Linked DNA regions of Caenorhabditis elegans. The protein of the gene in region 1 purifies or fractionates together with the protein of each later gene. This does not show direct contact. Each region holds a gene or a part of one and is shown on either strand. Other genes may lie near its edges.

Region 1 (5,492 bases):
TCAGTGGTATTCATATTGTTGTTGCGACACCAGGACGACTATCTGATATGCTTACCAAGAAAATTATAAATTTAGAAGTAAGACATAACTTCAAAGATTTCAAAAATTGCTTCAATTTATTACAGGTTTGCCGTTACTTAGTTCTAGATGAAGCTGATCGAATGCTTGATATGGGATTTGAAGATGAAATTAAATCAATTTTCTATTTCTTCAAAGCTCAACGGCAAACTCTCCTTTTCTCGGCTACGATGCCACGAAAGATTCAATTTTTCGCAAAATCAGCACTGGTCAAACCTATTGTAAGTTTTATTTATGCAATCGAGAAGTTTCAAAAATATAATTTTTTAACCTACTCCCAAAAGTTGTCATTCTTCAATTCTTAAAGAATAATTTTTCAGGAGTTTGTCTGTAAATTATAAATATTTTAGGTCGTAAATGTTGGACGTGCGGGTGCTGCTTCATTGAACGTACTCCAGGAGCTTGAGTTTGTTCGATCAGAAAACAAATTGGTTCGTGTACTTGAATGCCTTCAAAAGACTTCTCCCAAGTAAGATTTTATTTATCAGAAAATAATTAATTTAGAAATATGGCAACGGTTTTATATTTCAGAGTTTTGATTTTTGCCGAAAAGAAAGTTGACGTTGACAATATCTACGAGTACTTGCTTGTAAAAGGAGTTGAAGTTGCTTCAATTCACGGAGGAAAAGATCAAAGTGACCGTCATGCTGGAATTGAGGCATTCCGAAAAAATGAGAAAGATGTACTTGTGGCAACAGATGTTGCATCAAAAGGACTCGATTTCCAAGGAATTGAACATGTTATCAATTTTGACATGCCTGAAGATATTGAGAACTATGGTGAATTTCTTATTTATTTTTCATAATTGAATTTTTATTTTCAGTTCATCGAATTGGTCGTACCGGACGTTCCGGACGGAAAGGTCTCGCAACGACATTTATCAACAAAAAATCGGAGATGTCAGTGCTTTCCGACTTGAAACAATTACTCGCAGAAGCAGGGCAGGAACTTCCAGAATTTCTCAAAATGTTGGCTGGTGACGAGGAGGGAACTGCTCCAGCTGGCACAAATGCGGAAAAGGTAGTTAGAAAACATTTAGAAAATCGGGAAGTTCAACATGTTTTCAGGGATGCGCATACTGCTCCGGTCTGGGTCATCGCATCACAGATTGTCCAAAACTCGCTGGAATCGGAAACAAAACGACGCAAGCATTGGCAAGAGGTGGAGGCGACGATGGTGGTTTCTGATTATTTTATTCATACATTGTATCTCAATCTATTTATTTACTGTTTTCTTGTTTACATTTATAAAAATATTTGTCAGAATTGTACTATTTATTTCATGTTTAAAAAAAGTCTGGATTTCCGAGAAAACATGAAAATAATTAATTGATCGAGTTCATTGAAAAAGAAAAATGAATTAAATGCATTCTCAAAATTCTTTTTTTTAAAGGAGACACCACGGTTTCAAGATCTGATGGGAGTCCGGATCTACGTTTTCCGGATCTACCATTTCCGGATCTACGTTTTCCGGATCTACGTTTTCCGGATCTGGCACCGTGCAAACTCTTAAAACGCTATTTTTTCGAAGAAAAAAGTGACAACGACGCTCCGATGTTACGCGTCGCGTGTTGTTAAGCGTTTCTTCTAGAAGAAAATTTCGAAAAAAGTCGTGCGTTGAAAAGCGTTTTGTGCGTTGGCACGGTGCCAGATCCGGAAAACGTAGATCCGGAAAACGTAGATCCGGAAAACGTAGATCCGGAAATGGTAGATCCGGAAAACGTAGATCCGGAATCCCATCAGATCTTGAAACCGTGGTGCCTCTTAAAGAGTCGATTCTTTAAAGGAACACAGACTTTCACACCGTTTAGGTTTCGCCACGCGCCCCAACTACAGTAACCTCGACACACTCATCTACTAAATTTTGGGACAGTTCCTAATTCTTTTTGCTGTTTTCAACTCAATTTTCTGGAAAAATCTTAATTTTCTGCGAAAATGTCTGATGGTTGGAGTGATAGCGAAAGTGCTGCTAAGGGTGAGTTTTATTTTGAACTTTCCACCGGTTTTATTTTGATTAAAAACTTTATTTCAGCCAAAACTGGATTCGGTAGTGGAGGCGGTTTCGGTGGTGGTAACAATGGAGGATCTGGGTTTGGTGGTGGTAAAAATGGAGGTACTGGATTCGGTGGAGGAAACACTGGCGGATCTGGATTCGGTGGAGGAAACACTGGCGGATCTGGATTCGGTGGAGGAAAGACTGGCGGTTCTGGATTTGGAGGTGGAAATACTTGTGGATCCGGCTTCGGTGGAGGCAGTACAGGAGGATCGCCGTATGGAGGAGCCAGTTCTGGATTCGGTGGTAGTACTGCCACATCTGGATTTGGAAGCGGTGAAAAATCAAGTGCATTTGGAGGATCAGGTGGCTTTGGAGGTAGTGCAACTGGATTCGGAAGTGGAGGAGGATCCTTTGGAGGTGGCAACTCTGGTTTTGGGGAAGGAGGACATGGCGGCGGAGAGAGAAACAATAGTTCGTTTTTTAAATTGACTTTATATAATTACGTTTGTTTCAGATTGTTTCAATTGCCAACAGCCAGGACATCGATCGAGTGACTGTCCAGAGCCGAGAAAGGAAAGAGAGCCGAGAGGTTTTATTTTGATATAACTTTATTGGCAGTAATTTGTTTTATTTTCAGTGTGCTACAATTGCCAGCAACCCGGGCACACCTCTCGTGAATGTACAGAAGAACGCAAGCCGCGTGAGGGTCGCACTGGTGGATTCGGGGGCGGAGCTGGATTTGGAAACAATGGAGGAAATGACGGTTTCGGTGGGGACGGTGGTTTTGGTGGAGGCGAAGAACGTGGTCCAATGAAATGTTTCAACTGTAAAGGCGAGGGACATCGCTCTGCTGAATGTCCGGAGCCACCCCGTGGATGTTTCAATTGTGGCGAGCAAGGTCATCGCTCGAATGAGTGCCCCAATCCAGCCAAGCCAAGGGAAGGTGTTGAAGGAGAAGGACCTAAGGCGACATACGTGCCAGTCGAAGACAACATGGAGGACGTTTTCAACATGCAGAAAATTTCGGAAGGCCTTATGTTCAACAAGTTTTTCGATGCCGAAGTTAAACTGACTTCATCCGAGAAGACTGTCGGTATCAAACCTTGCAAGACATTCGCGGAAGCTAATCTCACGGAGACCATGCAGAAAAACGTTGCTCATGCTGGATACTCCAAGACCACTCCAATTCAGCAATATGCTCTTCCACTTGTTCATCAGGGATATGATATCATGGCTTGTGCTCAAACTGGATCAGGAAAAACCGCTGCATTCCTTCTGCCTATCATGACTCGTCTCATTGACGATAATAATCTGAACACTGCCGGAGAAGGCGGTTGCTATCCCCGTTGCATCATCTTGACTCCAACTCGCGAACTCGCTGATCAAATTTACAACGAGGGAAGAAAGTTTGCTTATCAAACAATGATGGAGATCAAACCAGTTTACGGAGGATTGGCTGTCGGTTATAATAAGGGTCAGATCGAAAAGGGAGCCACGATCATTGTCGGAACTGTCGGAAGAATCAAGCACTTCTGTGAAGAGGGTACCATCAAGCTTGACAAATGCCGCTTCTTTGTTCTTGACGAGGCTGATCGTATGATCGATGCTATGGGATTCGGAACTGACATCGAAACTATTGTCAATTATGACAGTATGCCGAGGAAAGAAAATCGCCAGACACTCATGTTCAGTGCCACTTTCCCCGATTCTGTACAGGAAGCAGCTCGCGCTTTTCTCAGAGAAAACTACGTGATGATTGCAATCGACAAGATTGGAGCTGCAAACAAGTGCGTCCTACAGGAATTCGAGAGATGCGAAAGAAGCGAGAAGAAGGACAAACTTCTAGAGCTTCTGGGAATCGATATCGACAGTTACACGACCGAGAAAAGTGAGTTTTTCGTTTTCTTATTTGATGAAATAAATTTCAATATTTCAGGTGCCGAAGTTTACACAAAGAAAACCATGGTCTTCGTTTCTCAAAGAGCAATGGCTGATACACTGGCTTCAATTTTGTCATCGGCTCAAGTTCCAGCTATCACGGTTGGTATATTTCATTTTTGACCGCTTTTTAATTCAAAATGTACAGATCCATGGTGCCCGTGAGCAGAGAGAGCGTTCAGAAGCTTTGAGACAATTCCGAAATGGATCGAAACCTGTTCTTATTGCTACTGCGGTCGCTGAACGTGGACTTGATATCAAAGGAGTGGATCATGTCATCAACTATGACATGCCAGACAACATTGATGACTATATCCATCGTATCGGAAGGTCAGTTATATTTTATTAATGTTTCAATAATGCAAGCATTGTTTTCAGAACTGGAAGAGTTGGAAACTCTGGAAGAGCTACAAGCTTCATCTCGGAGGATTGCAGTCTTCTGTCCGAACTTGTTGGTGTTCTCGCCGACGCACAACAGATTGTTCCAGACTGGATGCAAGGTGCTGCTGGAGGCAATTACGGAGCTAGTGGATTTGGGTCCAGTGTACCAACTCAAGTCCCTCAAGATGAAGAAGGCTGGTAGAAAACCGACCAATTGATAGTGTTTCGCATTTATTAATGCTGTCAGTTCCCCCATATTTTATCCTGCCCTTGTTGATTTTTAATTGTATTTGTTGGTGTTGGTTGTCGTTATAGTCCTCGCCGCATAAACTCTGTTCAATATCATGCTGTTCACGACTTCAACTATTAGTTGCATATTAAATGAAAAGAATTTTAACAAGCAAACTAGGCAATATGATCTCATATCACATTGCTCTCTCAGCTAATCAACTTCAATAATTTGTTTTCCGATTCTCCGCGGCGAGCATTTTTCCGCATACAGAAACTTTAGGCTCAATTCTTTATTTATTTTCTTTTTTGCTCTTCTCTCACTCGCTCATTTCCGGTCGATTTACATTCGTTTTTTCGCTTTCCTCTCACCTGCTTTTTTGCTCCCGTATTTTTTCTGTTGGCTTTGCCATTCCATTTACGGTTTGCTCAGTGATCACAATCAGGAAATAGAGTTTGAGAAGAAGAGTATTAGGGAAAAGAGGAAGAGATGATGCTTAGTTTCTGTTTCGCTGTGGCATTTCCTGTGTGCTTGTCTATCAATTTCTTCAAATATATTTTTAGTAATACTGTAGTAAGGTGTATTCTCAGTAGCACGTGGTGGGGTCCCACTGCGAGAGGGGTACTGTAACATACAATTTTTTGCGAAAATGTTTTCAGCTCCTATCTGCAAGTCGTCATCTCATTTTTTCTTAAATAAGTGCACATTTTCTATTCCGTTTCGTTTATTAACTAATAAATATAACTTCAAAAATCAAAAGGATTTTTTCTTGAAATTTCGAAAAAATTCCTTATGCATAAATAGATATTTCAAACGACTGTTCTGATGAAATCTTGTTCAGACTGCTTGATTTTTTCTTATTTTCATTGAA
Region 2 (5,211 bases), on another chromosome or scaffold:
TCTCGCTAATTTTAGGATTTCAACATTTTTTTGCCTATTTTGCAACAGTTTTCACATCATTTCTACGAGATCGAAGTTTTTGAACTTATATGAAAATCAAATTTTCTGAATTTTTACATATGATTCGAGCTTTTTCAGGAAAAAACTAGTAAGCTCAAAGTCAGAAAATGCTCTGAAAATTAGTATTGCACTCCCTAATAGTCTTGCATTCCCTATTAGTATTGCAAGCGGGAAGACCATCGAAAAATAGTATTGCAGCCATATTAATAGAAGAAATACGGTATTTGTTATGTTCGAATGCAGATGTCTCATAACGATTTACAACTCTAATATGCGTAAATGTATGATAAGATCAGTTGAAATTGTATAAGAATGCATGCAGTGCCACCTGTTAATTTTATGATCCACCAATCATTCGGCACCGTCGATTCAGACATCACTTTTCTCATCAAGCCGCAGAAAGAGATATACGTGTAATTAATTGAGTTAATTTCTTGCAACAATCTAGTTCAAACATTTACCGGGAACAAGGAAAAACAGGTTGAATAAATAATAAATGACAGTCAAGGTTTTAGGGATTTTACAACAAGATTGTTAGAATAAATAATGTGCGTAAAACGTGTAAGTATACAAGAAGTGTATACTTAAAAAACAAATTAAACATTCAATAGTTGGAGTTTAGAAACCTCCGCGTCCACCACGACCCCCGTAACCACCACGTCCACGATCTCCGCCGTATCCACCTCGTCCTCCGCGGTCTCCCCCGCCGTATCCACCTCTACCTCCACGATCTCCGCCGTATCCACCTCTGCCTCCACGGTCTCCACCGCCATATCCTCCGCGACCACCTCCTCCTCCATAAGCTGAACTGGTGGGAGCAAATTGACCGAATCCTTTTGCAACTTTGGCTTCCCCAAATCCACTGACTTTGTATTGATTAGTCGGGGCAGGAAGAGGCATTGGAGTAGCGTCGCCTGACCCCCATGCAGTTTCAGCACGAGCTTGTGGTTGTGGTGTAGAATCTTTGTCAGCAACTGTGGTTTCCTCTTCATCTATCTGCTGCATGCCCTGAAAGAAATATTTTTATAATTCTGAAACGATGAACGCGATACCGGTGGCAGAGCTACTGATTTCGTTGGAGAATCCCAGCCATCGGTGGAAAAACTTGGCGCTACTTCTGGCGAAGCACTTGAAGAAGTATCTTGATTGGCATCCGAAGCCATCTCGATCTCGTTAACTGTTTGCTGTTGTTGTGCATCGTTAACCTTTTCTGGGACAGGATCGACCGCTTTTACAGTAACACCTTCTCCAATGTTTCTTGATGAGCTTAGCAAAGTCGAAGAATCCACTTCGTCACAAGAAATCTCCTGAAGACTGAGTGAATCCTTTGAATCGACAAGTAACCCGGAAGAATTGGTATCACTGAGACCGTTGAGAACTTGAGCTTTAGTATTTACGCTGTATGTGTTGTGAACCGTCGTCATTTCCTCTTTCGTGTAGGCGGAATCCTGCTGTTGGGAAGTGGATGGTTGCACATTGCTCTTTCTGCCACTTGGTGTATCGGACAAACAACACTTCTCCAGTGATTCAACAATTCGAGTGACATGAGTCTTCGAGTTGATTCCTTGAACAAATTCTGAAATTAAAAAGTTAACAGGAGATAAAAAAAGGAATATTCACTCTTGAAGCTATCGACGAGAAGATTTTTTGAAGTGGAATCCAAGAAACGAAGCTCGCCCAGCGCTTCAGTCTCATTCTCGGATCCGTAAAACTCTGTAAGCCACAGTGCAAACTGTAGAGCTTTATTCACATTATCGATCACCGCATCATTGTTTAGTGGACTCTGAGGAATCTGAAAAACGGTCATGTAAGTAATGTTTATAGAATCATTAACTCACCAGTGGAACGGGCTTATCGAAGCATTGCTCTAGAATTGAGACTTGGAACTTCTTGATAAGTTCCGCAATGGCTCGTCTTTTCCAGGCGCTCTCCAAGTCTTTCGCGACTCCAACAACATCCCAATCCTCAAAAGACTTCTTAGCTGAAATATTTAGATTTTAAAAGTAAACAAAGACGAAAATACTAACATCCTAAAAGAACTTGGATGATGTGATTGCCGAGGAACACCGCACTCTTGTAGACACTTCTTTGCAATCCTGGAAAGACTTCCGCTCTGACACTCGTAGGAATCCCAGAGAGGATTTTCTTGGAAACCTCGCGCTTTCCATCTGCAAGTGAACGAACGATAAGGAAAAAGAGCTGATATCCGAGTTGAGATCTCAAGACAAGTGACTCGTCTCCTTCATTTTTACTCGCTTCCTCGAAAAGTTGAGCGATATGGTTCACAACTTTCCCAACAGACTCTTCGAGTGGATCCATGAGGAGACTAATGAATGGATCGGCAGGTTCAGATTTCGGACCATCCAACCTAAATTGAAAAAAAAAATCGAATTATTTTGAAAAGGACAACAATTACATCAACTGTTTCAACAACGGCTTGCAGCTATCAAATGCGTTGACGACGTTATCACGGATAATGTCGACCTCGTCGCTAGTCTCCTCAGAGATAAGTCCGAGGATTTTAGTTAGGACATAAACATCAAAGTCCAGATCCAGTTGGCTGACAAGTTCCGTGAGCTCAACAAACTTTTCGGCGGCATCATCGATTGCGATTACTTTGAGAAGAGCTTGAAGAATCTTAGCGTCTTCAGTCTTCTTCAGCTTGGCCTTACGGGCGAGCATTCCGAGCTTCTTGTCGTCATCGATGACAGAAACCAGATCATGAGCATGTCCCAATCCTGACAATTTCTCAGCAGCAGCATCAAATTTCGGACGCTAAAACGTTATAATTGATTACAATAAGTTTAATTCACACTTACAAATTTATCTCCGAGAAGAAGACAAACGTCCATGCCAGCAGCAATAACGGCAGCGTTAGCGTCGTTCGGCAAGATCATCTCCAAAATGTCTTCGTCTCCAGGAGCGTCTTTGGAAGCTCCCAACACGAAAGCAGCCAACTTATTGGCCTGAAATTGAATAATAGAAAATCGGTCTTTAAATATTATAGTCCAACCTGAGATGTATTGTTGAACAGTTCTTCGTCATTCTTCGTGATGTAGTGGGCCAAATTTGGGAAAAAGTAGGATCTCAGCCCACCGAAATCCACAATTTCTCGCTTGTTAGCCTCCATGTGAAATGGATGAAACTGAAATAAATATTTAAATTTTTAAAAAATTTTTCGAGATTAGAATTCAAAAAAACGCAAAATTTACCCAAAAAAGTAAGAAAACGGAAAAGAAAATTGGGACGAGATCGAAATTGCAACTTCCGCGTTCGCGTCGAGTTGTTCGTTTCGAGACCCGTAGATCTGAAACTTCCATGCGCCTTTAATAATTTCTAAGTTTCTGAACTATTTCCAGATTTATTTTACCTATTTTCTAGTTTTTTTTTTCAAATCAAAATATGTTTAATCAATGCGGGGTTTTATAATTAAATAATATGTTTAACTTGTTATAGATTTTATAGATATTATTTTTTAAACATTTTAATTTGTTTCACGATGATATTTCAGTAATTGTAGGTTTGCGATGGCGACGAAAGAGCAGATTGTTGAGCACCGCGAGTCTGAAATTCCTATAGCCAGCCAGTGGAAGGCCACGTTTCCCGTTGATCTAGAGATTGAAAAAAATTCTGAAATGTTTGCGCTTCGCTACATAAAATGTGCTTCGGCCTTCATTCTCGATCGCCGTGGCATTTTGGACGAAAAATGCTTCAAAACTCGAACAATAGGTATGGCTTATTTTACAATGTATCACAAATATTTTTATACAGATAAACTGTTGGTCACCGCATTCCAGAGCAGTGTTCCTGCCGCAAAGCGTGTGTCTTCAACATTCGACGGATTGAGAGATGCGATTCAACAAGGCTATTTGCGAGAGTTCGCAATCGTGTTCTACAAGAAGCCAAACGAGGAAGACATTAATGAAGTGTTTGCGTTCAGGTTTGCTTATGGAGATGAAGGAGAGATTTTCGTATCTCTAAATAAGTAAGCTGCTGGTCTTATTCAATTATTCGTTTTCAATTGTTTTCAGCGGAATCGACACGAACGAAAGCAGTCAAGAACTGTTACAGGCGAAATTCGTTGATACCGACAACACGAAACAAATGTTTGCAAGCACAATCAAGAAACTTCACCGGTGTATCAAGAAAATGGAGCCGCTTCCTCAAGGGTCCGACGCGAGTTTCCGTGTTTCGTACACTGAAAGTAGGTTACATTCACAGCTTTAGTCTATTTCTAACTGTTATTTTAAGAAGCTCCAAAAGACTATACACCCGAAGGCTATCTGCTGAGTCCTATGTTCTATACGCTGAATCAGGATATTAGGAAAGCATCTATTGGAATCGTGTGTGGCGGTCATCACAAAATTCAAATGCTTGCTGCTTCACAATACTTGAAGCAAGACTTCGATCTGGATAAAACGACCACACTCAATCCAAATATGTCAATCATGGCAAACCAATCGAAAAGGAAGGGACGAATTTCCAGAGATTCCCCTTACGGTCTCAGTCAGGGCATTACGAAGAAGAATAAGGACTAGTCGAAAAGTTTTCACTCATGTGCAATGTTTCTCTTGTTTTATATTTTTAGCCATTGTTTTTATAATTTCATTGATTGTCGTGCTTTTGTCTTCTCTTGTGTGATATCAATCTATCTTCTTCACGTATAGTTTCATCTGTTTGATTGAGTTATTTTTCTTTCACTGTAAGTCTGGTGTTTCGTAGATTTAGAAAAAAGTAGCGTAATAAATTATTTTGAAATGGACCAAACATTCAAATCCAGTTCAGATAAATTTATTTCATTGAAGCAGTGTTGGAATTCGGACAAATGAGAAGTGAATATTCATTTGAAATAAGTTTTACATTACTTGCACTGTTGGCTGGGTGTTAAAAATAGGTTCAATATTGAATTAATAAAATGGGACAATTCACCGTGCAGAAAAAAACGAAGGAAAAGGCTTAAAATTGAAGAAGAAGTATAAAAGAATCACATGGGCTTTTCAGGAATTCAGTAAATGTTTGGACAAGTATATCAAGATACTGTACATCTGGAACTTTTCTTTTTCTTTGCCATTCGAACACCGCCTCCCGACATCATCATTGGTTCATTTTTCTTTGATTTACGACTGGAAGACTTTGCAGGAACCTGAATTT
Region 3 (6,382 bases), on another chromosome or scaffold:
AACGAAGTAGAAGCAACCGAAACTCTACTGAAAGTCATAAGCAATGAAAAAACGAAAAAGGAGCAGCTCAATGCAATCCAGCACATTTTGATGTACGCGTGTGCTCATTATCTTTGTAATGCAAAACGAAATGGAATGGCTTTAAATTCAGTTGGTAAGCATGATTTTATCGATAAGCATTGAAAAAAAAATTATTTTAAGCAAACTTCCACATTAGAAACGGCGCAGAGTTGTATAGACTGAATTGGAATGGAGATACGAGTCATAGAGGGATCAATAACAGTTTTGGAATTATGGTAAACTACAGGTATGACTCGGTCGAACCTTTTTTGAGTCTAAAAATTTAATTTTCAGATACGATTTGGAGAAGGTTCACGAGAACAGTGCAGCTTACACTGAACACAAAAAGATGGCGATTAATCAGAAAGTTTTGGATATCTTCTGAATCTTTTCACCCAGCTCCTCATATGTATTCGAGTTTCAAGAATTTAGTCTAGTTAATGTGTCATATTATACTTGTAACAAATTCGTGTGATTGCTTGCCCAGTTTCTTGTGAATAAAATTTTCGAAATTTTAATTACTTAGTGCATTGTTTATTATGTCATAACAATAATATTAATATTAGAAAAATTGGATATTTGACAGGGATCGCGGTGCCTATAGGTACATGTTGAAAACTTGTTCGATGAAGATTTCAAAAAGATCAGTGGTGGATACCTGATAAGTTGGGTGGTTCAGAAGGGGTGAGAGAGAGAAGTATTGAAGAGAGAGATTGAGAAAACAAGAAAAATGAAAGAACACGTATCGAGTTGGGGGTTGGGACGAGAGAAGGAATAGAAAAGAAAACTTTTCAAATGGCTATTTACAGAAGAAGAAAAGCGAAGAAAAATGAGGTATTCAACCGGGGAGAATATGAATTATTATTATCCAGTGAGTGTTTTTTTGTTGATTTGAGGTTATGAAATTTTTCTTCTTTAAAAATTCTGGAATCGTACAGTCTTCTTCGGCCCAGTATTCCTCTTTGGCATTGCTGGAACGACGAGAATTGAGTCAGATGCGATGTTCAATGGATCATTCTCAATCAGTTTATGAAGATCAGAATCAGAACGACGACCGCGAAGTGGGAACTGAAAATTAAATTAAATAATTGTACTTCATTTTCAGCAGGAAAAACTAATATATACCTGGTATCTAGCATCCTTGAAATAAAGCATAGCAATAATGACCATAATAACAATTGTGACAATTGTCAAAATGGTGGCAGCTACAGTAATCCATCCAGATCGATAAACTTCTTCCTCTTCTGGCATTACTGTGGATCCTTCTTTCTGTCCGCAATTTGGGATTGCCAAGCATCCGAGTGCTCCTTCAGCAACATCTGCCTCCTCAGATGCCTCAAGCCATCGTGGAAGCCATTCTTTCGGGTCGTTGCACACGCAAACCCATGGATTCACTGGAATTTGTTTTGTTGTAAACGCGGACAAAATAATTTAAAAAATCTTCGATGCAAATTTATCGTTTACAGATAGATTATTATTTAACGACGACAATTTTTCTTTATCACAAAAACGTGCGCCTTTAAAGAGTACGGTAGTTTCAAATTTTCGTTGCTGTGGAATTTTCATAGATTTTTCATCGCTGTTCGTTTAAAATATATTTGATTATTAAAAAAACTGAAATTACAAAATTTAAAACTCATAAATTTAAACAAAATCTGAGAAAAACTATGAAAAATCGATCCTAGGGCCGCAACAGCAGAAGTTTGAAACTACAGTACTCTTTAAGGACGCACACCTGTTTCTACTTAACAGAAAATGGCCGTGTCGAGACCAAATACCGTATTTTTGACGCAAAAATTGAAAAATGTTGCGATTCATTTAAAAGTGATGATCAATTTGAAACTTTTCTCGTAAGGTAGGTGAATCATCTATATTGAAAATTGTGTAATTATGAATTTAGTTTTCTTTTTTTTTGTTTCAAATGCTGATAAAAACTTATTTTTAAGCACAGATAAAAGCAGATTCTTACATGAAACATCAACCGCCTCCACAGATTTTGGTGAGAATGAGTCAAATGTTCCTTGATACAAATAGTTAAGCTTATTACTGTGTAAATACAATCTCTTGATTTCCATTCCTTCCAATGCGCGAGCCTCGATCTGAAAACACTCTATTGAATGAGAATCTTGAAAATTTCAATGCTCAAACCTTTGAGATGACATTATGATCAAGTGCCAAACTGGACAAAGATTTTGGAAGCTCATCAGAACGGATAACTGAAAGATTATTGGACGAGAGTTGAAGAGTGACAAGTTTCTTGAGAGATGCGAGGAATGGAGTACGGACTTGGGAGGGGGAATCTGGAAAAAAAATTAATTTTTTTTTGAAAATGAAATGTGTTAACTTACGGCTTGAAAGTTCCTCGATTTGATTATATTGGAGAAGAAGTGTGATCAAATTAGGAGTGTGTTGAAATGCTTTTGGACTGATTTGACTTAAATTATTTCTTGCAAGGGATAATGTTTCAATTCTATCAGATCTTGTTAATCCAAACATATCCATATCACCGATTGATTCAATCTTATTGCGATCGAATAGGGCGACAACGAGAGATGGAAGATCTGAATAAATTATTTTTATTCTACGAAAAGGATTATAATTCTATTAAGAATCGTTAGACAAAAATTTTAGTTTCGACCATGTGTAATTTTTTATGTCGACCTTCGATCCTAGCACGAGGAAAACTTTTGATCTACCGTACCCGAGATTATTTTTTAGTTATCTACGATTTTTTAAAGTTTTCAAAATTTATTTATCAATTATTGAGAGAAAATTTCTCCAAACGTAAGATTAAATGTTTTTTTAATTTTTTACGGTATATAAAAAATTTCGATAGGGCCAGGACCCGAGGCCATAATTTTTAGCCTACAAAAACTATTTAAGGTAGAAAAACTAACCCTTCAGCTTAATAGATTTCATTGAATCAATAGTATTATTGTTGAGAACCAATTTCTCAAGTTTTGGGAACGATTTCATCTCAACATTGGAAATCTTGTTTGATCCCAAATCAAGTACACGAAGATTCTTCAAGGCTGAGAAGATTGTCCAGTCAATGTTCTCAAGATTGTTATTTGATAGAATAAGCTGTTCGAGAGAGTTAAGACCACGGAATGCTCCTCTGAAAATATTTGGTTATTGAAATATTATTTTCTTAAAAATTAAACAATACTTTTGAATAATCTCAAGATTGCAATTTTGAAGTGTCAACTTCTTCAAATTCTTCATTCCATCAAATGTTCCAGTTTTCAAAACTCGAATATCATTTTCATTGAGTAAAAGTTCTTCAACTTTTTTCAATTCCTCAAATGCTCCAACATCAATTTCTTGAATCTTATTCATTGCCAAATCAAGAGTTTTGAGACTTTTAAGTCCAGTGAAAAGTCCCTTTTCCAGTTTTTTAATTCTGTTTTCGCGGAGAGATAATAATTCAGCTGATCCTCCAAGGGATTGGAAGGAATTTGGTTGAAGAGTTGAAAGACCACATCGTTCGAGTTTAACTTGTTTAGCGAAGACCTGAAAATTGGATTGATTTAAGTGGGTCTCGCCGCGATGAGAAAAAAGTTAACTAGTGATATACGTTTCTGTCCTGATTGGCATTATTGTAATTCAACTTACATTCTCAAAAAGATCCTGTGGAAGAACATTAACTGTAGAATCTCTTATTGTGAGACGTCCCAATTCTGTGCCATTCAGTGAAGCCAAATTTTCAGATACAGATGCAATTGAAGCGGATTCGCATCTGAAAAGAAAATTTCAGTTTCAAGAAGTTTTATAGTCGAGTAAAATTCAACATACTCTATAGTAAATCCTTTGACCGTGCTGAAAATTCCGTTGTCGGCGCAGATGCATACTGGCTGAAAAGTTACAGGTATTTTCTTGGATATTATCAAACTCCGTCGAGTTAATCGATTCCAAAATTTACCTGTTTGTGTGCATTAAATTCTTCTTTGAATCCTTTCTCAATATCAATACAACTTTTTGTTTCTTCTGAAATTGCTATCCTGGCCAGTGCCAGGAGGACGAAGCTGAGTAAGCTTCGCATTTTATGTCGACGTTTCTGAGAAATGAGGAGATAGGGTTTGATATTTTTGTACTGGCAAAGAAGAAAAGAAGAAAAAAATAAAAAATATTAACGATTCACTCGATGTGGTAGGAATAAGATCGTTGAAACTTGGACGTAAATTCAGGTGATCGTAAAATCTTAATTCACAGAAGCTCGTAATTGAAGACGGAAGGATTTGTTTGAATGGTCATCCGGATGGGTCTCGTCACGAGGAAAGGTTATGGTAGAAAATTAAAAAATCGGAAACTGATTAAGATCTACATATACCAACAAGTATTCGAACGGAGAGCATTTCAAAATATTTCTCACGTTGAAAAAATTGCTCGTCGCCCCCAAACACTAGCACCAAGCGGCCGCCTAAAGTTGGCTATGAAAAAGAAAACATAGATCATGAAAAGTAGTGTTGGAAGTGAAGAGAGTGCGAGGGATGCTGAGAGTACCAGGCTGTGCTGGCGCGCCGGACTGGGCACACTCAAATACAGCTGCAGGAAGAGAAGAGGAGCGGAAGACGATTGAAATGAAGAAGAAGAAGAGGGAGATGAACATTAGTTCTTTTTTTCAATAGATAGTACTAGATAAGAGTAGAGTTTAGAGAAAAAGGTGTCAAGGTGGTTTATCATGACCTTCCAATAAATGAAACTATATCTTTGGGTAACTTACTTTAAGGAATCAGAAAACGGGAAATTACATGTTCTGGAATTATGTCAAGGTTACTAAAGAAAAATGTCTCATTTGGGTCCTGGAACGAGCAAAAAATTCTAGCTACAGTACCCCCGAGAATTTTAGAATAGAAATCAAACAGTGAAAATTTGGAAAAACTTGTAAGTACGGTATTTGTCTGGAAAGTCAGGTTCGTGCCAAGATCCTATGAAGTAATTTCACGTTGAAACCAAACCTATCTTATGAAATTTTTGGGTCTTGTCACGGAAAAAAAGCATGTGATTTTGAATGTTGAATTATCAATTGTTCCTTATTTTAAATACTTCAGAAACTCTTTGTAACCTATGAGGAATCATTGTTGTACTTTCGCGGAGTTTCAGTTGCATAAAAAATTGAATAGTAAAATGTGATTTATTTTCCAGTAACCTTAATACATCACATTTCACGCACAATTTTTAAATAATCGCTCGGAATTTTTTGTTGTTGTAAATATTTACAATTTATTTAAATCATTTTCAAAATCAAACACCAAAACGTTCGCCGGCGTGGTCATTTCAAAATCAGAGTTTCAAATAGAAGAGTTTCAGACAGAAACCATATTGACATAGACAATTTTACTGCCCAATCACTTTTTTCTTCCAAACATACTGATAACGATGCAGAGGTCGGGAATTGTTCAAAAATTCAAATTGCAAAAGTTTCATGGATTTATCGTTATTTCGCGATTTTCTAAGACATACATTTAAAGGTGCATATATTCATTCGGATGGGTCTCGCCGCGGTAAAAGCTTATGGTAGATTTTTTTGTTGTTAAAAATAGTAATTAAAATACAGAATACTTGAACAATATAGTTATAACCGGATAAATTTGCTTGCACATTTAATTTAATTTAATTTAATTTAATTTATTACGATAGTGAGATATCGTGAGGTAGAAAAAAACACATTAACTTCTGAATAAAGAAAAAAATCTGGTTCCACCATAAACATTTTACGCGGCGAGACCCATCAGAATAATAAATCTCGAAATTACGACAGGAGAATTAAAAAATAAATAATTTATCAACTGAACTTGGAAAACAAAATTAATGTTGAAGAATATAATAACTAGCTCATCAAAATAAATTGAAGTTTCTCAATGGAGCGCGATTGAAGAATCTTGAAAAAGCTTGCAAATATGTAATAAAGTATGTTTTAAAATAATAATGCTTTGTTAAGTCGAATTTCGAAAACAAACGCAATAATATCGCCAAAAAACGCAAGCTGGGCACTGGCACCCACGTAGAAATTGCGCAGTCGGCGATTGGAACGAGAAGAAAAAAAGAAGGGAAGCGTGGAGAGAGTGGGAAGGAAAGAGAGACGCAGAGTCCGTGCAAGGCAGTGTCAGGCTGCCCGTCTTGTCGATTATCTCTATATTTTACACACTCTCTCGCCTTTATTTGAAGGCCGAGGTCATTTTCGTGTGCTGTCTGCGTTTCTCAATGAACGGGGTGTGTCTGAGGAGAGGTTCTTTAAAAAAAACGGAGAAATGATCTCTTCCGCGCGGCAACGGGGCGGCTGTTCCGTGTTCGAGAAGTTCGTTGGCAATGACGTCATAAT
Region 4 (5,113 bases), on another chromosome or scaffold:
CAGGTCGCCTTCTGAAAAAAAAATTAAATATAATTAAACAATCAGGAAATAGCTTACTTCAAATATTCTCTGATAACTCCACAAACTTTATGCATAACCACGCAACTATTGTCCATTTCACGAAGAGATTCTACGCACGCCGCATAAGCTTTCAAAATGTCTTTTGTATCAACCGCTGAAATTTTAAATATTTAAGTTTTAAATAATTCCCCTCACCAACTTACATGCAACAAGAAGTTTTGTGTTAACTTGATCTATCAAGTAATTTGTGAAATCGACTCTCCCATGATTATTAGTTCTCAAAAGGCAATATTTCATTGTGATGAGACTGCGAAATTTTACTGGAAAATCTACGGCGATCATTTCATATGCCTACAAAAAATATTTTTTAGGTTCCAAATTTTTTTAAAAACTCACGTTTTTGGAAAGCATTTGGAAGACATCTTTGTAAATAGTGTCACTAATTAAATGGAATGCGTCTTGCATTGTTACTTGATCTGACCAAATCCTCAGACTCTCCATAATTTCTTGAAACATTGAACATCTCAGCTCATTGTCAAAAGCCGCTTTCTCGTGCATCACCAATGTTGCAGCAAGCTCGCGAATATACACTGAAAGTGCTGCGTTCATGTGACGATTTGCATTGAGAATTCCAGTTTTTCTGAAAATGTTATATATAATTTAGGAAGTCAGGCTTTACCCACAATTCATTGACAAAAGGATTAAAATCTTGAACATATTGCCCGCATATTTCTTTTTTTTCTGGTGTCCACAGCTCTTGGTTTAAATCGATTCCATGATCGATTTTTCGATGAGGAAGGTACATGGCAACTGAAAAATGTTATTGGAAACTGGGGCTGAATGAAAAAAAAATACGTCTGTAATTAGTGAAGTGCGACATAAAATAAGGTCTGAGAACTTTGATAACAACTTTCTGCATGGCCAGTGGGAAGATGAGCTCTGCAGCATCGCGAATATCCGGTTGACCAACGCCTTTTTCCAATGCAAACTGAAATTATTTTCCATTAGCTTGTTACACCTCTATTTTCTGACCGTTTTCCATAAGGAGAAGATTTTTCAGAGCATTTAATTGAGAATAAGGCTAATTTGTTCTTGATTGGATTTAAAAATTTTAAAACTCACCATCAGGCATTCTTGCTGTACTCGTTGCAGAACTGTCGTCATATCATAAACTTTTTCAATATTTTTTGCGTATTTTGCGTGATATATCAGAGCATCCCAGACTTCTTTTTTCTTTGAGACGCAAAATTGTCTGAAAACTGTCTTTACGGAACTCATTTTCAAAAATTCCATACCTGTACTTCATCGCAGCCTCTTTCGAAGTAGTCATTCTGTCAAAAATGGACATTTTCGAAATGGTTAAAATAATTTCAGCAAGGATACGAGAAGAGAACGATGACAAATGTGTGAGAAACTGTATATATTAAAGGATCATGCTTAAAACGAAGGTTGGGGTCTCGGAAACTACATTTCCACAAAAACCGCGAATAAATGTTCCTTTAAAAATTATACGAAAAAATGTTTGTTTCTTTTTTTTCACACGATTTTTCAGAGTATTTTCTTTCAAATTTCTGTCGATTCCACTTTTCCTCCGTCTTTTGAATGTTCCCATGAAAGAGACATAGACATTGGTTCAGTAGAGCGCATACTACGGGGCAGTCAGCGGCAATTATTTTTTATTGTAATTTTTGAACATTATCAATTTTCCCTGTTTTCAGACCAATAATGGTCAGGGTAAGAGCTGATTTACAATGTTTTAACCCCAGGGACTACCAGGTAATTTTTAAGTAGCAAAATAAATTAAAAATAATCGATTTTCAGGTGGAACTTTTGGATAAAGCGACAAAAAAGAACACAATCGTCCAACTAGGCACTGGTTCAGGAAAAACTTTCATTGCAGTTCTACTGCTGAAAGAATATGGAGTTCAATTGTTTGCACCATTGGATCAGGGTGGAAAACGAGCGTTTTTTGTTGTAGAGAAAGGTAATTTCGTCTATTAAAAATAAGCCAGCTGGCCAGTAAAGTGAATAATTGACAAAAAAAAACAAGATTTATTCTAAAACATCATTTTTTCCAGTAAACCTCGTTGAACAACAAGCTATCCACATCGAAGTTCACACAAGTTTCAAAGTTGGTCAGGTCCACGGACAGACAAGTAGTGGTTTATGGGACAGCAAAGAACAATGTGATCAGTTCATGAAGAGGCACCATGTGAGTGAGAATACGAAGCTGAACTATCGAGCATATATATTTCAGGTTGTTGTGATCACAGCTCAATGCCTTCTTGATTTGATTCGACATGCGTACTTGAAAATTGAAGACATGTGTGTTCTGATCTTTGACGAATGTCATCATGCTCTCGGTTCTCAACATCCATACAGAAGCATCATGGTCGATTATAAGTTATTGAAAAAGGGTAAGTATTGAGGAATTAATGGTGAAACTTCGAATTCGCTTCAAAATACGGAAATATTTTTTCAGACAAACCCGTCCCACGTGTATTAGGACTCACAGCCAGTCTTATCAAAGCGAAAGTTGCGCCGGAAAAACTAATGGAACAGTTAAAAAAGTTGGAATCTGCGATGGACAGTGTTATAGAGACAGCTAGTGATTTAGTCTCGGTATGATTTAAAAAAGACAAACAAAGACTTGTTTCCAATAAAACTAATTTAGCTCTCGAAATACGGTGCGAAACCCTATGAAGTTGTGATCATCTGCAAAGACTTTGAAATTGGGTGCCTGGGTATTCCGAATTTCGACACAGTTATAGAAATATTTGATGAAACTGTAGCCTTTGTGAACACCACAACAGAATTTCATCCAGATCTAGATTTGGATCCTCGTAGACCGATTAAAGATTCTCTCAAGACGACGCGAGCTGTTTTTCGTCAACTGGGACCTTGGGCGGCATGGCGAACGGCTCAAGTTTGGGAGAAAGAGTTGGGAAAAATTATAAAATCTCAAGTGCTACCGGATAAGACGTTGCGGTTTTTGAATATGGCAAAAACATCTATGATTACGATTAAAAGATTGTTGGAACCGGAGGTGCGTACCTAACAAGAGACGTTGGAAAATGGTACCTCGAAGTATCGTTATGGTATAGCAATTTTTCGACAAAAAAGTGTTATCATTCGAAAAAGTTCGTAACTCCCTACTCACCAAGAGAGCTACAAATCTTGAGCAAGATTTCAAATTGTAAGATTGTAGCTCAATTCATGGCTTTTTGAGAATTATGGGCTGAAGCTTGAATGCTATATGTTTTTTAAAAACAATTTACGAATATTTGGAAACACTTTTTTTAAGTTGAAAGTTTTTTCAAAAGGGGTGAAACTGCTCGGACGCAGCTGAATTTTTGGAATGATCCTCAATAACACTTTTAATCTAAAATTACTATTCTATATTGAACTCCAAGTTAGCATTTTCCAACTTCCAGTGTAAGCAATCAACTATTAATTACACCAATTTTTTCCAATTTAGATGAAGAAAATCAAAAGTATTGAAGCTCTCCGTCCATATGTTCCTCAACGTGTCATACGTCTTTTCGAAATCCTAGAAACTTTCAACCCCGAATTTCAAAAAGAACGAATGAAGTTAGAAAAAGCAGAACATTTATCAGCCATTATTTTTGTCGATCAACGGTACATTGCATATTCGTTACTTGTAGGTTTATATGAATGTTACGGTAATATATTGTAAATTTTCAGCTTATGATGCGTCATATTAAATCATGGGAGCCTAAGTTCAAGTTTGTGAACCCGGATTACGTCGTTGGAGCCAGCGGACGAAATTTGGCGAGTTCGGATAGTCAAGGATTACATAAACGACAAACTGAAGTAAATTTATGTTTAAATTATCATTGTCTAAATATAATTTTTAGGTTCTTCGCCGTTTCCATCGAAATGAAATCAATTGTCTTATCGCTACATCAGTGCTTGAAGAAGGTGTAGATGTTAAACAATGTAATCTTGTGATTAAATTTGATCGACCACTTGACATGAGATCATACGTTCAGTCAAAGGGAAGAGCTCGGCGAGCTGGATCAAGATATGTTATCACTGTTGAGGAGAAAGATACTGCGGCGTGTGATAGTGATTTGAAAGATTTCCAGCAAATAGAAAAAGTAATATTGGAATCTTCAGTTCAATTGTTTAAAAAATGATATTAAGATTCTTCTTAGCCGCCATCGTACAGTCAACAATCCTATTGAAGATGATTCGGATAGATTTGAAGAATTTGATGTTGATTCTCAAATGGAACCATATGTTGTTGAAAAAACTGGTGCAACATTGAAAATGTCAACTGCTATCGCATTAATTAATAGGTATATTAATAATTTCACTTTAGAAGTTTAATCCAACAGCTAAATACAAACAATTGGTAATCTTCCAGATATTGTTCGAAGCTTCCTTCCGATATCTTCACTCGTCTTGTTCCACACAATCAAATCATTCCAATTGAAGAGAATGGAGTGACCAAATACTGTGCAGAGCTTCTTCTTCCAATTAACTCACCGATCAAACATGCAATTGTGCTCAAAAATCCAATGCCAAATAAGAAGACTGCACAGATGGCAGTTGCACTTGAAGCATGTCGACAATTACATTTAGAAGGAGAACTCGATGATAATTTACTTCCAAAAGGAAGAGAGTCGATTGCCAAATTATTAGAACATATTGATGAGGAGCCGGATGAGTATGCACCTGGAATTGCTGCTAAAGTTGGATCATCAAAACGAAAGCAATTATATGACAAAAAGGTATTTTCGTATATTCGATTTTCTAAAAGTCGCTCAATTCAATGAAAATAATTTAATTATCGGAAAAGTAATAGTGATAATTAAGTAAAAATAATTAAAAATTTACAGATTGCTCGTGCTCTCAATGAATCCTTCGTGGAAGCAGATAAGGAATGTTTCATCTATGCATTCGAATTGGAACGTTTCCGGGAAGCCGAACTTACGTTGAACCCGAAAAGACGAAAGTTTGAAGATCCATTTAATTATGAATATTGCTTCGGATTTCTGAGCGCAAAAGAGATACCAAAGGTACATTTTTCTGTTTGATAGCTAATAATATTTATTTGTAGATCCCA

What was found.
Region 2: the proteins of glh-1 (region 1) and pgl-1 purify together in Caenorhabditis elegans (affinity purification with western blotting; 3 studies listed by BioGRID, with this or other methods). This does not show direct contact.
Region 3: the proteins of glh-1 (region 1) and pan-1 purify together in Caenorhabditis elegans (affinity purification with western blotting, with the first as the bait; one study listed by BioGRID). This does not show direct contact.
Region 4: the proteins of glh-1 (region 1) and dcr-1 purify together in Caenorhabditis elegans (affinity purification with western blotting, with the first as the bait; one study listed by BioGRID). This does not show direct contact.

What each region holds. Positions count from the first base shown.
Region 1 is NC_003279.8:6,852,800-6,858,291, forward strand, and holds glh-1 (ATP-dependent RNA helicase glh-1), read left to right. Parts: upstream 1-1,678; 5' UTR 1,679-2,012; coding exon 2,013-2,052; intron 2,053-2,109; coding exon 2,110-2,544; intron 2,545-2,587; coding exon 2,588-2,662; intron 2,663-2,710; coding exon 2,711-3,961; intron 3,962-4,009; coding exon 4,010-4,113; intron 4,114-4,159; coding exon 4,160-4,341; intron 4,342-4,389; coding exon 4,390-4,594; 3' UTR 4,595-4,737; downstream 4,738-5,492. Other genes in the region: sacy-1 (RNA helicase), read left to right, coding at 5-77, 126-299, 429-547, 610-857, 902-1,098, 1,146-1,265. UniProt on the Caenorhabditis elegans protein: Probable ATP-binding RNA helicase. May act redundantly with the P-granule component glh-4 to regulate the formation of the granular structure of P-granules in embryos. Plays a role in positively regulating the localization of pgl-1 to P-granules.
Region 2 is NC_003282.8:6,973,939-6,979,149, forward strand, and holds pgl-1 (Guanyl-specific ribonuclease pgl-1), read right to left. Parts: upstream 3,381-5,211; coding exon 3,273-3,380; intron 3,206-3,272; coding exon 3,074-3,205; intron 3,027-3,073; coding exon 2,880-3,026; intron 2,836-2,879; coding exon 2,477-2,835; intron 2,429-2,476; coding exon 2,088-2,428; intron 2,042-2,087; coding exon 1,899-2,041; intron 1,853-1,898; coding exon 1,681-1,852; intron 1,637-1,680; coding exon 1,113-1,636; intron 1,069-1,112; coding exon 679-1,068; downstream 1-678. Other genes in the region: him-3 (HORMA domain-containing protein), read left to right, coding at 3,588-3,789, 3,832-4,045, 4,092-4,264, 4,312-4,598; prkl-1 (LIM zinc-binding domain-containing protein), read right to left, coding at 5,090-5,203. UniProt on the Caenorhabditis elegans protein: Guanyl-specific endoribonuclease which cleaves the phosphodiester bond in single-stranded RNA between the 3'-guanylic residue and the 5'-OH residue of adjacent nucleotide, resulting in the formation of a corresponding 2',3'-cyclic phosphate intermediate.
Region 3 is NC_003281.10:4,560,473-4,566,854, reverse strand, and holds pan-1 (P-granule-associated novel protein 1), read right to left. Parts: upstream 4,118-6,382; 5' UTR 4,103-4,117; coding exon 3,983-4,102; intron 3,915-3,982; coding exon 3,856-3,914; intron 3,800-3,855; coding exon 3,676-3,799; intron 3,574-3,675; coding exon 3,230-3,573; intron 3,179-3,229; coding exon 2,958-3,178; intron 2,622-2,957; coding exon 2,409-2,621; intron 2,361-2,408; coding exon 2,209-2,360; intron 2,160-2,208; coding exon 2,030-2,159; intron 1,455-2,029; coding exon 1,186-1,454; intron 1,129-1,185; coding exon 976-1,128; 3' UTR 574-975; downstream 1-573. Other genes in the region: mlcd-1 (Malonyl-CoA decarboxylase, mitochondrial), read left to right, coding at 1-154, 202-307, 355-445. UniProt on the Caenorhabditis elegans protein: Regulates diverse developmental processes including larval molting and gonad maturation.
Region 4 is NC_003281.10:8,076,908-8,082,020, reverse strand, and holds the start of dcr-1 (Death-promoting deoxyribonuclease), read left to right. Parts: upstream 1-1,739; 5' UTR 1,740-1,746; coding exon 1,747-1,797; intron 1,798-1,842; coding exon 1,843-2,005; intron 2,006-2,099; coding exon 2,100-2,233; intron 2,234-2,278; coding exon 2,279-2,438; intron 2,439-2,503; coding exon 2,504-2,643; intron 2,644-2,695; coding exon 2,696-3,067; intron 3,068-3,499; coding exon 3,500-3,682; intron 3,683-3,726; coding exon 3,727-3,855; intron 3,856-3,899; coding exon 3,900-4,142; intron 4,143-4,188; coding exon 4,189-4,343; intron 4,344-4,411; coding exon 4,412-4,778; intron 4,779-4,886; coding exon 4,887-5,066; intron 5,067-5,107; coding exon 5,108-5,113. Other genes in the region: apc-2 (Anaphase-promoting complex subunit 2), read right to left, coding at 1-11, 58-175, 225-372, 418-661, 705-831, 877-1,009, 1,144-1,273, 1,317-1,369. UniProt on the Caenorhabditis elegans protein: Component of the ERI/DICER complex which is involved in processing amplified double-stranded RNA (dsRNA) intermediates during small-RNA-mediated gene-silencing or RNA interference (RNAi). Involved in cleaving dsRNA in the RNAi pathway.